Arabidopsis thaliana: one gene and its partners. The protein of the gene in region 1 purifies or fractionates together with the protein of each later gene. This does not show direct contact. Each region holds a gene or a part of one and is shown in the gene's direction. Other genes may lie near its edges.

Region 1 (5,226 bases):
ATAAGAGAGGAATGAATTCATAAAAGCTGACAAAAAAAGAAAGTAACACCAAAAAAAATTGCACTAATTTGATATAAAAAAAACTACAGAAAAGCATAAACTTCATGTTGAGAAATATAGCCCAACACAAATTGGATGGACCTCAAAAGATATTGGGCTTACGTTTGTAGTTTCCTTTTCTCAAGAGGCCTAAGCCCATTCCAACACTTTCATCATTTTTCTTCTTCTTTAAAATACTTAGCAATATGGTATAGTTCGAAATTTTAAAAATGGAATATAAATCTTGTATCATGGCCTCCCTCTTTTCCCTGTCAATGATTTAGATGATAATATTGATAATCCACAATTTCGTGGGTTGTCACTATTTCCTCTGTGATTGGAATCTTTTAATCTATAAAAAATGACAATTGTTAAACATAAATGGTTACAAACAGCTTTGTTGTACCAACATAAAAGAATGTTTTAAACGGCTCATGATTAATAATCATTTTGGTCCATCAAACCGGTTTTTACCCAAAAAAAAACCGGGTAAAATTTAAGCGATTTACCAAACAACTAACCCCACACGTGCCTACCATAAACTTCATGCCTATTTCTCACCACACACTATCTTACACGTGTAGATTGTATATATACACATTCATGTGTGTATCTCCTTGTTCCTCTGTTTCTTTACCTTTACTTGCGGCCAATCGTAGAAGAAGAAACAAATCAGGAAAAAAAAGGTACAAAAAAAAAAACTCTCTCCTATGTGTCTTTAATGGTTTACAAGTAATCAAATTAATTATAGATATATTGATCTGGATTATGTTTACAATGTTACACATTGTTAGAATTTCAAGAATCGGCGGCGGAATATTCTCGCCGGAAAATGGGGAAAGCTAGAGGAGTTAACAGCGGCGGCGGAGAGAGCTCTCTCGGTTATCTTTTTGGTTCCGGCGAGTCTGTTCCCAAACCAAACAAGCCCAACGCTAAAACCGGTTTTACCACCACCACGACCACCACAACAACAACGGATGGAGCTGGAGGTAGACCCAAGACCACGACCACAACTACAACAACCGGAGATAAAAACAAGACAGAGGAGAACTCGGCTGGTGTGAGAGGAAGTCCTAATAATTACTACAGATCAGATGGACAAAACTGTGGCAACTTCCTCACGGTAAGAGTTTTAAATTCAAGTTTGATTGAGGAACTTGAATTTAAAACTGATTTGGTTTTGTGGTTTGAGAAACAGGAACGACCATCTACGAAGGTTCATGCTGCACCAGGTGGAGGATCTTCTTTGGGTTACTTGTTTGGATCTGGTCCTTGTGGATCTGACAAATGATTTCTATTTCCACGACAAACATCTCATGCATTTGACCCTTTGAAAAAATGTAAAAATTGTTCTAAACTTTATTCTTTATCCTTACAAACTGGTTTTGAGGATTGTTTTGAATTTGGCCATTTCTTGTGTTCTTGAAAAAGCTACGAAGCTTTCTCAATCTTGAGATCTCCAGAATGTGTTTCCAGCAAAAGAAAATCATTTTACAAACTTTGCTATTGGTTATACAACTATTCAAGTTCCATGTTCCTTGCTCGGTCACCATTCTCATAACAGCTTCCTGAAATTCAACCTTTTTTGCATAAACAACAGTGCAATGTCTCGGACTAGTTCATTACTTGTCTTAACAACATGGATGTTTCAAGCCAAAATTGATCATCATGTTTGACTTGCAGCTTCTATCTATCAAACAACTGTTAAGTATAAACATTTGAGATCATTTAACCAAAAGAACACGTACAATTAAGCGGATCACGGTGGCTAATCAAGCCGGTCACCAAATTATACGATTGATCCTGACCGTTAGATTGTGTACGTTAATTTTGATGCACAAAACCGTTTCTTTCCCTCGTTATTTTATTATTAGACCGGATCCGGTTCAATTCTGAACCGAGAAAAACCATAAAACGTTGATTAGGGCTTTCAATTTGTTGCTTTGTCTCTCTCGAACTTGTGCTAGGGATTTAGGATTAGCGTTAGAGACTCAGTCGAGCAGAGAATGACGACGATTGTTCCCACCTCCGAAGAAGATCCTTACCTCGCCATTGTTCGTTTCACTTCCCAGCTTGCCTGGGCTGATGCTGGTCCCGAGGTCGGTACCAACCTCTGTTCTCAATCATCGACTAGTGAATACGATTGTCTATTTCGAAAGTTGCTACATTTCGTTATTGGAATTTATGAGCAATTTCTGGGTATCTTTGTCTTTATGCGACCTTAATTTGGGAATCACTGATTGTTGAGGCGTTGTGTTGATAAAAATGAAGTCTGAATTGAGCAATTTAGTGTTTTAGCTACCATGTGTCTATTGCAATCTCACTTGATCTGATTGTTTTAATAAAAATTGCCTCACTATGGAATTGTTTAGTTGATTATGATTTCTTTTGCTTATTAGGTCGCAGAGCCTGAAGTTTCCAGGCTATGTAAGGAAGCAGAGGAGTCTATAATAAATGGGAAGTGGCTGGATTTGGCAACGTTGATGGTAACTTCAGCTGACTTGGTATCAGCCAAAATCTCTGAGAAAGGTCTGTTTTTTTGTGTGTGCAGGTCTATATGTTTGTTAGTCCTTTTTAACCATAAATAATATCTCTTTAATTTTGATGGTGTTTGCCTCTTATTAGATCTTGAGTGTACCTACACCATCATTTGCAACCTTGTCAAGAATGCGAACAGTCCTGAGGAAGTCCTTGAAATGGTGAAAGCTATAGCTGCTAAGGTTATTCAACAACCAAACGACAAAGCTTCATTGCGTTTGAAGATGTATGATCGTGTGACTCTTTGAGCTAATCTCTCTTAGGAGTCTTTGAGCATCTATTTTAATGTTTCATTTTTGTGTTATGTGTTTCTCATCTGTTGCTTGTCTCTGTGCAGCCTCTTCAATCTATATAATCTGGTAGACCACCCAAATGCTCGTTTTCAAGTATACATGAAAGCTCTGGAACTGGCTGTAAACGGGAAGGTTACCGAGTATATTGTACCTTCCTTTAAGAAGATTGACAGCTTCTTGAAAGAGTGGAACATTGACATCAAAGATCAGCGGGAACTATTTCTTGCTATTGCTAAAGTGCTTAGAGAAAATAAAAGGTACTGCAACAATGTTTGTTTCTTCTTTTTCCTTTTTTTAAGGTATACCAATGTCCTCATGGGATTTTTAATCAATATTTCAGTTTTGCGAAAGAATCCCTCCAGTTTGTGACAAATTATTTGGCAACTTTCTCCAATGAAGATACCCAAGTCCTGAGTGAAGCCAAGGAGGAAGCTGTACGAGCAGTTATTGAATTTGTCAAGGCTCCCAGTATATTTCAGGTATCCTAATTCATAAATCATTCATTCAAATGCGTAAGATTTTTGCACGTTGACTTGTTACTGTCATTGTAGCTTGTAAGTGTTAACTACTGCGCCTTTTGTTCAGTGAGGTCTTTTACTGGAATTACATCCCTGACTTTTGTATTTTGAATTGCAGTGTGATTTATTAGACCATCCAGCTGTCGCACAGTTGGAGAAGGATCCTAACAATGCACCAGTTTACCAGCTACTGAAGATTTTTCTTACTCAGAGGCTAGATGCATACATGGAATTCCAAAATGCGAATTCAGGATTTCTGCAAACATACGGTACTGTTCTTATCCCTTTACCGCTTGACATGATCCTCAGATGAATCGAATCCTTCATTCTTTAGTGAACCCATAATAAGCCATAGACGGTATCTGCAGGACTTGTCGAGGAAGACTGTGTAGCAAAGATGAGGTTGTTGTCCCTAGTTGATTTGGCCTCAGATGATTCTGGCAAAATACCGTATGCCTCGATCAAGAACACCCTACAGGTTAGCTTCTTTTCTACGAACAATACATTAAATGTTGATAACCTTTTTTGCGTTGCTTTCTCAGACTCATCGAATTTGTCGGGGGTGCAGGTAAATGACGAGGAGGTTGAATTGTGGGTGGTTAAGGCAATAACTGCAAAATTGGTTGCTTGTAAGATGGATCAGATGAACCAAGTTGTAATTGTCAGGCAAGTTTCTAATCTACTTCTATTTCGATTTATATGTGTAAATCCAAAGTCACACATTCTCGTACTTCATATCTGTTCATGTATCAGCCGCTGTGCCGAGCGTGAATTTGGACAAAAGCAATGGCAGTCTCTTCGAACAAAGCTAGCAGCTTGGCGGGTAAAATATAAAACCAAAATTTGAAAATCCTGCGATATTGAAAATTCGTTGTAATAACAAGATGTTTCTTGTTCGGGTATGTGCAGGACAATGTTAGGAATGTAATCAGCACGATCGAATCGAATAAGGCAACAGAGGAAGGTACTCAGACATCATCAGCAGCTCAGGGATTGACTGTCCGTTGAAATATATCTCTGAAGAAGAAGCTTCTCAATCTAAAGAGTGATCTGATATTGTCATCTCAAAAGCTTTATTGAATTCTTTGCAGAGTTCTTTTGACCGTTGGATCTTTTTGATTCCGGCCTTCTTCTTTGTGTTGGCCTCTTTTTGTCCCTTAAATTTATGCGGAGACTTGCGATACATTGTTTAGATAAATTTATCACCAATGCATGAATATTGGGAGTGGCTAATAACAGCTGGCGCAAAATCATTGGATTAAAAAATAAGAGCTTTGTTTTAGTAGTCGAGTATAAAATAGTGGATTCAAATTACCCCAGTCGTGTTCGTTTCTTTTCTTTGCTTTCAATAAATGTCACAACTCCGCTCTAGTTATTCGTCAATTCCTCTTTGATTCGCGTCAGAAAGCTCTCGAATTGGCGTCGTCGATCGTATCACAATTTCAATATTGAATCTCGTGTTGGCTTCAGATTTCTTGTTTCGATTAGAAAATTGAAGTTTTTTTGGTATTGATCGATCGGTTCTCTAGGGTTTGGGATAAGTATGGATAGATTCAGCAATTTACCAGACGATGTTATTTACCACATCGTTTCTTTTCTTTCGGCAAAGGAGGCTACGTGCTTAAAGTTTGTCTCCAAGAACTTTCAGAATTTGGTTACTATCAAACGAAACGTTGTTTTCCATCATTGGGAAAGTTTCAAGAATTTTGTTGATGGATTATTAGCTGAACCTGCCAGTTACCGTATAAAGAGATTCTCTCTGAAATTGGTGTCTATGGATTTTGCTCAGTATAATATTGTCAACGATTGTCTTTGCAATGTGTTGAAGCGAGGTGTCT
Region 2 (4,755 bases), 3.4 Mb from region 1:
GCATCATCATGGTGATGCTGTTTTTCATGCGGGAGAAATGTTTTTACCAACATCAAATCGTATTGCTGCGGAGTTGAGAGGGATATTATGGGTACTACACAGTCTATGTGATCTACACTTCTATAATATTGAGATTTGGTCCGACTATGGTGCTCCTATGGAAGCCATTAGTGACCCATTAGATTGGCCACGTATTTATCTTATCTTGATAGGATTCATTGGTTTCTCCCGAATTTTGATAAGATCGTATTTAAGGTTTCATCGCACGAGATATAGCCACAAGCGTAATGAGAGAAGGTCGATGCAGATCATATTTAGCTCGTGGAAGTCCGATGTGGTTACACTCGCATTGAAGAAGACAAGCGGCGTTGATTTTATTGTTCTTTATTAAGTTAAGATCTTCTATAAGTGTATGAGGAAAACAAGTTTAGACGGGAAAAACAAAAAATCGAAGTGTATTGAGTAAACTTCAATGAAACCTGTAAAGAAAAAATTAAATTAAATTGAAGATTAAATAAGACTTTAATTTTGATTGCAAATCTTTTTATCGAATTCTAGATTTAGTTGTAAACATAGTAAACCCTTATTACACCAAATACTATAGTCATTTTGTTTGAGATAATTCATTTGGAATTCTCTTTAAAAGTTTAGTGATCGGAGGCTTCTCGATTTTCTCTCTCTTCTCTCACTTGAATTTTTCAGAGAAAGAAAAAGCGATTCATGGCAAGACTCCGTCCAACATCGTTCGGCTTCTTTAACGACGATGGTTGGTTCGTTTCCAGCATCAATTGGCTTCTTTAGTGGTGGTGGCTGGCTTTTGTATCCGGACGTGGTCCGGCTTTGCCGTCTTATCTCGCCGTCTGGTTTCTACTTTTCTCTTTAGTGGAATCCGGCTTTAGTTTCCAGTTCTTTGATACCGGTTTTACCTTTCTGCTTTTCAATAATCATTGTGATCTTAGTACCAATTTTTTTTTGGGTTTTCCTTATCATCCTCTTTTCTCAAGCTTTTTTGCATCCTTATTTAGATGAAAGTCAATCTTTGTTTCATTTCTAATCTTTACCTTTTGGGTTTTAATCAACTATTAGAGTTTGTTTCAACCTAAATCGATTCTCTCAATCCTTTGATTTAGAATCTCAATTCGGCATATCTGGTAAGATTTAATCATCAAGAGAAATCATGGTTTTTTATTTCTCTTTTGTCATAGATCGTTGCTGTTCTGGAGAAATTTAGATCAAATATAAACTCTGGATATTGTGGAGCAGAGAGTCAGATTTACAAGCGTGATGAGATTGTCGTAGAGGAAATGGTGGGTTATCGGATTTGATGGTGGTGCTGGGAGATAACGATGAAACAATCATCGGCGTAAGAGAAAAGTCACATCCACGTGTCGTATGTTGCTTTGACTTGTTTTATTAGCGCTGTACTCTTTACTACAAGGTGTTTAGTTGTACCCTTTATGGATTTGTGAAATACTTTGATGACTGGGCTTTAGTGATGTTTGTAAACCCATAATTTGAATAAAAAAGAAACTTATGAACAAGAAAAAAAAAAGTTCAGTGATCCAACGGATCCACAATTAATTTCCGTAAATGGAATATATTTTGCGACAAAGGAAAGGGCTAAAACAATTGTTATTGGGCCTTTTTTTTTGGGTTAATCAGACTAGCCTTCGCAAATTCGCGCTTTACGCGTTTCGCGTCTGAAGACACTACCGGAGTTTTTGTTCGGCGATTGTAGTTAGTGGTGGTGGATCCGGGCATTTCATTTGATAACCGCGGTGGATCTAATTGATCTGGATCTGACCATAGCCCTGCTTGCTTTTTCTGGAAATTTTTAGTGTGTAGCTCTGGAGAGTTTCTCGTGAGTCGAATCGTCTATGCGGATGCAGTTGTGCTCAGATTTTTGAGTTGTCTAATTGATCTTGAAGAACTGTGAGAGAGAGAGAGAGAGATCGAAATGTTGCGGGCGAGAGCATTTCGGCAGACCAATGGTAAGATTGTGAAGATACAGGTACATCCTACGCATCCATGGCTTGTTACGGCTGATGATTCAGATCACGTCTCCGTCTGGAATTGGGAGCATCGTCAGGTCTGTATCGAGATTCTGATTTGATTTTGGTTCCGGTTCTGATTTCGAATCGTGGATCTGTCAACGTTTATGTCTATTGTGTTAGGTAATTTATGAATTGAAAGCCGGCGGAGTTGACGAGCGCCGTTTAGTTGGTGCCAAGTTAGAGAAGCTCGCCGAAGGAGAATCCGGTGAGCCATTGTTCTATTCTGGTGAAATGAGTATGAGTTTCTGATGCTTTATGTTCTTACTGACATTCGTATTTTCCTCAGACTATAAAGCTAAGCCTACTGAAGCCATTCGAGGAGGAAGGTAGTAGATAGATCTTTCTCGCTGCTAATTCAGTTGCTCCTTTCGATAATGAGAAAAATGACTTATCTGCTCAATGTTTGCACCTACTAGCGTTAAGCAGGTGAAGTTTTATGACGATGATGTGCGTTATTGGCAACTGTGGCGCAACCGCTCCGCAGCTGCTGAATCTCCATCAGCTGTCAATCATCTGACATCTGCTTTCACTTCCCCTGCTCCATCGACTAAAGGCCGTCATTTTCTGGTCATTTGTTGTGAGAATAAAGCTATTTTCTTGGATTTGGTGACAATGCGTGGTCGTGATGTGCCAAAGCAAGAGCTTGATAACAAGTCACTTCTCTGGTAAGTTCATTGCTTTTTCTCTAATTTTAGGATATGGGTTTGCTTGACACCTGGACCCCGGGGAAGATGCTCCATTACTTTAGGCTTCCTATCTTTAAATCACTTGAATCCTGGAAAGACCTCCGTTAGTTACTACGCTGGAAATATTTGAGTCAAATGTAGACTAGGCATAAGTGTAATGGATATGTGTGTTCTAAGTGTAATGGATACCAGGCTTCCTTGATGTTTAATGTTCAGTCAATGGCCAAACTCCCTTTCTACATTTTTAATTTCTACTCCTCCTTAATGTTGCTAGAATTCTTCCTTTCTTTGCAGCATGGAGTTTCTTTCGAGATCATCTGGTGGTGATGGCCCTTTAGTTGCATTTGGTTCAACTGATGGTGTCATTCGGGTTTTATCAATGATAACATGGAAGGTTTGTTTGTTTCAAAATTATATTTTTTTTTTTTGGTTTCTCTGCTGGGTTTAGAGTGAGGGATTTTGATACTGATCTGTGTTAATTTCCTTGAATGTTTACTTCCTTGCAGCTTGCACGTCGATATACAGGTGGCCATAAAGGATCCATTTATTGCTTGATGAATTTCATGGCATCATCTGGCGAAGTAACTACATATTCCCTATATATGCCCTCTTTATTGCTCTGAATTTATTTCGAGTTATTTACTTAATATGTTAATAGTTAATACCATCTGATAGATGAAAGTGTCATGTAACTTAGAAAAACATACTCAAGATCACCTACTAAGATCGACTGTATATATTATATGAAAACGAGGTCTTGAGCATATCGTCTTGGAAGTTTCCTACATATATCTCTTTCTTCTTAGCGACGTAAAAATCTCACATTCTACTAAGTGGGAGTCCAGACCGCAGCAGGCCTTACTATACGGATACCTGTTTTACAATCCAAATATCTAGCCTTAGTTTCTTAGATCATCTGTACTCGGGTTAAATTTCATGCATAGCCTAGGCATTAGGAGCGGCGGGAATTTTAAACATTGGCATCTCTTTTCCCAATTGCTTGTTTAGGTTATGTTAATAGCGAATTTCTGATAGTACTGGGCTTTCTTCCCTTTTATATAACTTGACGTTTTTTAATGAATGCTTATCAAGTATTTTCTCTCTGTTATTTATGTGCAATACATGATACTAGCCATCCTCTATCTAAATGCAATTGCAGGCACTCCTTGTTTCAGGTGGCAGTGATGGCTTACTTGTACTGTGGAGTGCCGATCATGGCGCTGACTCAAGGGAACTTGTACCCAAGCTTAGCTTAAAGGTACTCAATTATGCCCACTCTTTCATTCAAAGTTCAAGAGAGGATATTACCATGACCGTTCAATTCTTAGGCCTGGAAAGATTTGCCAGATTTGGTTACAGCTGAGGCTAAGGCACCATTGTTCTTAGTTCCAGTGAACCTTCTGAATTGATTTCTGTGTCTGTTTCTGAATGTTGGATACTTGCATTTAGATATTCTTTCATTCTTTTTATAAAAGGCTGAGTAATGATTAGGGGACTATGACATGCTCGTGCTTTTTTTTTTTTTTTGGTGTAATAGACATGGTCATGTTTGCTTAATTGAGTGGATAATTTCCACTTCTCTGTTATACTTTTTTTTTTTTTTTTTCCTAATCCCTTCTTGGCTTCTTCTAATGTTTTTGTTCTGATTGTATTAGGCACATGATGGTGGGGTGGTGGCTGTTGAGCTGTCAAGGGTAAGTGGGAGTGCTCCACAATTGATTACAATTGGGGCTGACAAGACATTGGCCATATGGGATACAATGACATTTAAGGTAATGGTGTATCTCATGTATGGATTTTTCATATTTTCCCGATCTCATTTATTAACATGCATATCTACTTTTATTCTACAGGAGCTACGTAGAATTAAACCTGTCCCGAAACTAGCTTGCCACAGTGTTGCATCTTGGTGTCACCCTCGAGCGCCAAACCTTGATATTTTGACTTGCGTTAAAGATTCACACATATGGTATCTTTGTTTAAGATTTGGTATTGTATATGGTAGAATATATTTA
Region 3 (4,724 bases), 3.9 Mb from region 1:
GACAACTTGACAGATTGTAATATTGTGAACTAATAAAGAAGAATCATCTTCTTCTCGTTAATAATGTATTCACTCTCGCAAATCAATATCATTACAAATTTCAAAAAAAAAAACAAAAAAAAAGCAAGAGGATCATCATCATCATCATCCTTTCTTAGGCATAGCGGCGAGGCGTGTATACATTTGTGCCATTGAATTGAACCCTCTCACATCACCAGATCTTAGAAGATTCCCTTTTTTCCATAGCAACCACAACAAAAGCGTCAGTAGAAAAAAAAAACAGTTGCTTACTATAAAAACTAGGCATGGGCATAATAATCAAACTGAAAGAACCGAATCCGAACTGAAGCAACCCGAATCCGACCCGAAATGGTAAACTACTCAAATAGATCCTAAATTCTAGAACCAAAGTAATTAGAACTGAACCCGAACCGAACCAAAATATTTTGCGTATCCGAAATATGATTATATATCCAAAGATATTAGTTATTTTTAGTTTGAATAATCAAAAATACCCAAATAAGGAAAAATATATAAAAACACCAAAATATCCGGAAAAAAAGACAAAAAATATCTGAAATATTCGAAATAAAATATTCTAATGGATCCTAAACTTCAGAACCGAACCCGAACCTGAACCGAACTGAAACTGTTTCGGTTCCTATATGGATCCTAAAATCGAGAACAGAAAGAATCGGAACCGAACTAGAACCGAACGGGAACCAAACCGAATACCCGAACGCCCATGGTTACATTTTTGAAAACACTAAACTAGCATTTTGTACCTGAGTCGCAGTTAAGAGGACTGTCCGGCTCAGGATGAGCCATCAATGCTATGATAGCTCTACACACAGACTGAAGCGTCCAAGCAGGACTCCAAGCATTCTTCAAAATGTCGAGACATATTTCTCCTGTCTACAAAATTCCCAAGTACTAACTAAAAAACCTGCGTTTCCTTTTATCACAGGAGAAGGTTGTTATAAAAAGAGATGCAAACCTTGAAATGAACATTAGGATGGAATATCTTGGTCAAGAATCGAACTTGAGGAGGTTGCAAAGGATAAGGTTCAGGAACAGAAAAAGCAAGCTGAAAAACACCGCCTTCGTAAGGAGTCTCCGAAGGTCCTTTGATAAGAGCGGTCCATTTGAATATGTTGGTATCGTCACAGATCAATTGAATATCAGGATCTGCTACTTTCTCTCGCTGTACCTCTTTGTATTCTTTAAACAGTCGCGCTCTTGATGCCTATTACATCAATCAAATCAAATCAAATCATAAACATACACAGAGAATTTGCAACAAAACAAAAAAAAAATTAAGCAATTTACCTGCATCTCTAATTTCCCAAAGAGAACGAATTGTCAACTGCAAAAAGATCAATCTAAAATCAAGAAGAAATAAACCCTAATTTCTTGTAATTCACAGACGCAATTATCAGATCCCGTAACAATCTCAATGATTAGGTGAAAAGTGTTTTATACAAGAACAGTGATAATTAGGGTTAAGCAATGACTCTGCTTTAAGATCTAGAAAGAAAGACATAGGAGGGATGCGAAACTATAATTGAACATAAAGAGGACGAATCAACGAAGCTTTACCTGCAAATATGAGAGCGAGAGAGAGAGAGAGAGAGAGAGAGAGAGAGAATAGCGATGATTATGTGAAGTTTTTTTTTTCCGAACCATAGAAAGTTTTATTAAAATGACTTTATAAAAAAACATAACCGGATGATAGAACCGGTGGTAATAAGGAAACGAAACCGGATGATAGAACCGGTGGTAATAAGGAAACCCTAGGCGGTGGTAGTGAGTTAAGAGCTAACATTGTTGCGGCCGCTAAGAATTGATCCGGCGAGAATGGCGAGCAGCAATGAGTATGAGGAAGGTCCGGGGGAGAGGGAGAGTGGGTACGACCCAAATATGGTGCCGGATTCGGTGAAGTCGTTCGTGTCACACATGTACAGACACATAAGGGATAAGAACGTGTACGAGATCCACCAGATGTGTGAGACATCGTTCCAGAGCATATCGGAGCGTCTGTTCAAGGACACGCCGTGGCCAAGTGTGGAAGCGATTGCTCCTTACGTAGACAACGACCATGTGTTCTGTCTTCTGTACCGTGAGATGTGGTTTCGACATTTGTATGCGAGGTTGTCTCCGACGTTGAAGCAGAGGATTGATTCTTATGACAACTATTGCAGCCTCTTTCAGGTCTGTTGTGGAATTCTTCTACTTCTTCTTCCTTGTTAGATAGAGATGTTGTTGATTTTGATTTCTTTTGTGTATGTATTGGCTGGGAATAAATACAAGTAAGTAGACCTTCTTCCGTTTGTTCTTTCTAGGTTGTGTTGCACGGCGTAGTGAATATGCAGTTGCCGAACCAGTGGTTGTGGGATATGGTGGATGAGTTTGTCTACCAGTTCCAAAGTTTCTGTCAATTCAGAGCAAAGCTCAAGAACAAAACAGAGGAGGAGATTGCATTGCTCAGACAGCACGATAAGGCCTGGAATGTCTATGGCGTGCTCAACTTCTTGCAAGCACTTGTGGAGAAGTCTTGTATCATCCAGATCCTTGAGCATGACAAGGATGGCCTTGAGTTCACTGAGACTGATGGCTACGATTTCAGCGGTGGCAGCAACGTCTTGAAGGTCCTCGGTTACTTCAGCATGGTCGGTCTCTTGCGTGTTCACTGCCTCCTCGGTGACTACCACACTGCTCTCAAATGGTTGCAGCCCATTGACATCACTCAGCCAGGTGTTTACACCAGTGTCATTGGTTGCCATATCGCTACTATCTACCACTATGGATTTGCCACCCTTATGTTGCGGAGGTATGTCGATGCTGTTCGTGAGTTCAACAAGATTCTCCTCTACATTTTCAAGACTAAGCAGTACCATCAAAAGTCACCTCAGTACGAGCAATTACTCAAGAAGAATGAGCAGATGTACGCTTTGCTTGCTCTCTCCCTCTCCCTCTGCCCTCAAACTAAACTCGTTGACGAGTCTGTCAACTCTCAGCTGCGAGACAAGTATGGTGAAAAGATGATGAGGATGCTGAGGTCTGACGACGAGGCCTTTGGTATTTATGATGAGCTCTTCTCTTACGCATGCCCCAAGTTTATCACCCCTTCCGCACCACCAACTTTCGAGGAACCTCTTGTCAATTACAATCAGGATGCATACAGGCTTCAGCTGAAGATGTTCCTTTACGAGGTAAAGCAGCAGCAGCTCTTGTCGGGAGTGCGGACTTTCCTGAAAGTCTACTCCTCCATTTCTCTTGCTAAGCTCGCAAACTACATGGAAGTTGATGAGCCCACTCTAAGGTCAGGGACTAACTATGGGCATTCTTATAACTATTATTACCAAATCTACTTCTCTCTTTTTCTTTGACATGTACGGGGTTTTAATTTGCAGGACCATATTGTTAACATACAAGCACAAGACCCATTCAGTTGATTCCGATGGTAGGATCATCTCCAATGCAGACATTGATTTCTTCATCAACAACGTATGTTCTTTCTTCTCTCTCTGTCTTTCTGATATCTATACTCTGGTGCTTTTACAACGTTTGTAACAACTCTAAACCTGGTGACACTGCAGGACATGATCTACGTTGTCGAATCAAAACCCGCAAAACGTTATGGTGATTTCTTCTTGCGGCAGATTGCCAAGGTATGTTGTATAAACTGAAACTAAGACTAGTGCACATGAACTCTTGTTTTGATCTTTGGCTCTTCTTTTTTTTCCTCCATTGCGCAGCTTGAAGGTGTGATCAACGACATGGATCGTGTCAAGCTGGAATGACGACTTTTCTGTGTTACACCTAATTATCAATGCCCAATCTGATATGATGCTTTCTCTTATAAACCATAAGTTTACCTGGAGCCAAACACTTTTTGAGTAACTGTCTTCAAATTTCAACCATAAATCATTTTTGTTTTGAATTATTGCCATTTTTTTTTTTCATATTGAGTATGGCAGTTCAGTTTTTGATCGAGTTCCTTTCGAACTATTTGTCCTGTTTCTATATGCCAACGACGAGTTTAGTCTTCAGTAGTACAACTTTTTCCGTTTAAGATGTGCAAGCTTTCTTGTTCTTCTGTTAGAAAATTATATGATTGTCTCAATCTCATCAACAATAGTGAAATTGTAGTGTCATCGAATCATTTATAATTGTTTCATCGCTAATTCATTAAAGTCACTTTCTTCTATAACAAACAAACAGGTGAACAAAAAACCAAAAGAGAACAAATGACGTAAAGTCTTTTACCACAAATTATTTGTTTTATGATGAATCCAAAAAATTGTGTTTTGCTGTTCTGAACGGTTGTATTTTATTATCACAACATTTAGTTAAAAATGTTGACGATTATTTATGTGTTCATGTCTTTTCATCGTAACTTTCCGCTAACATTGCCGGTTATTTTTTTTTTTAGTACATTTTTATCGCAACTTTTCGTTTGTATCAGTCATTTTAATATTAACAGTTATTTTTTGGTGGGGATAACTACTTTTTTCGTTTGTGTCTTTTTATCATAACTTTCTATTTATATAGACGGTTATTTTTTTCTTTATTGTCTTTTTATCGTTACTTTTTATTTGTGTTTTCTCATCGTAACTTTCTGTTAATATCGATGGTTATTTTTCGTTTGTCTTTTTATCGTAACTTCGTAAAACAATTGACGGTTATTTTTTTTTGGTTATATCTCTTTATTGCAACTTTCC

The links. Proteins that work in one complex are often made in the same cells at the same time.
Region 2: the proteins of AT5G15610 (region 1) and AT5G24710 fractionate together in Arabidopsis thaliana (co-fractionation; one large-scale study listed by BioGRID). This does not show direct contact.
Region 3: the proteins of AT5G15610 (region 1) and AT5G25757 fractionate together in Arabidopsis thaliana (co-fractionation; one large-scale study listed by BioGRID). This does not show direct contact.

What each region holds. Positions count from the first base shown.
Region 1 is NC_003076.8:5,077,534-5,082,759, forward strand, and holds AT5G15610 (Proteasome component (PCI) domain protein), read left to right. Parts: upstream 1-1,924; 5' UTR 1,925-2,045; coding exon 2,046-2,138; intron 2,139-2,438; coding exon 2,439-2,568; intron 2,569-2,664; coding exon 2,665-2,803; intron 2,804-2,914; coding exon 2,915-3,127; intron 3,128-3,210; coding exon 3,211-3,349; intron 3,350-3,506; coding exon 3,507-3,657; intron 3,658-3,756; coding exon 3,757-3,866; intron 3,867-3,956; coding exon 3,957-4,211; intron 4,212-4,297; coding exon 4,298-4,396; 3' UTR 4,397-4,701; downstream 4,702-5,226. Other genes in the region: SP1L4 (SPIRAL1-like4), read left to right, coding at 872-1,162, 1,238-1,330; AT5G15620 (F-box/RNI-like superfamily protein), read left to right, coding at 4,932-5,226.
Region 2 is NC_003076.8:8,465,123-8,469,877, reverse strand, and holds the start of AT5G24710 (Transducin/WD40 repeat-like superfamily protein), read left to right. Parts: upstream 1-1,704; 5' UTR 1,705-1,957; coding exon 1,958-2,089; intron 2,090-2,174; coding exon 2,175-2,259; intron 2,260-2,340; coding exon 2,341-2,380; intron 2,381-2,470; coding exon 2,471-2,719; intron 2,720-3,034; coding exon 3,035-3,134; intron 3,135-3,246; coding exon 3,247-3,321; intron 3,322-3,899; coding exon 3,900-3,998; intron 3,999-4,395; coding exon 4,396-4,512; intron 4,513-4,593; coding exon 4,594-4,709; intron 4,710-4,755.
Region 3 is NC_003076.8:8,964,594-8,969,317, reverse strand, and holds AT5G25757 (RNA polymerase I-associated factor PAF67), read left to right. Parts: upstream 1-1,677; 5' UTR 1,678-1,857; coding exon 1,858-2,211; intron 2,212-2,342; coding exon 2,343-3,322; intron 3,323-3,413; coding exon 3,414-3,507; intron 3,508-3,599; coding exon 3,600-3,671; intron 3,672-3,758; coding exon 3,759-3,803; 3' UTR 3,804-4,173; downstream 4,174-4,724. Other genes in the region: AT5G25770 (alpha/beta-Hydrolases superfamily protein), read left to right, coding at 1-10; PEX4 (peroxin4), read right to left, coding at 145-233, 786-915, 998-1,246, 1,330-1,335.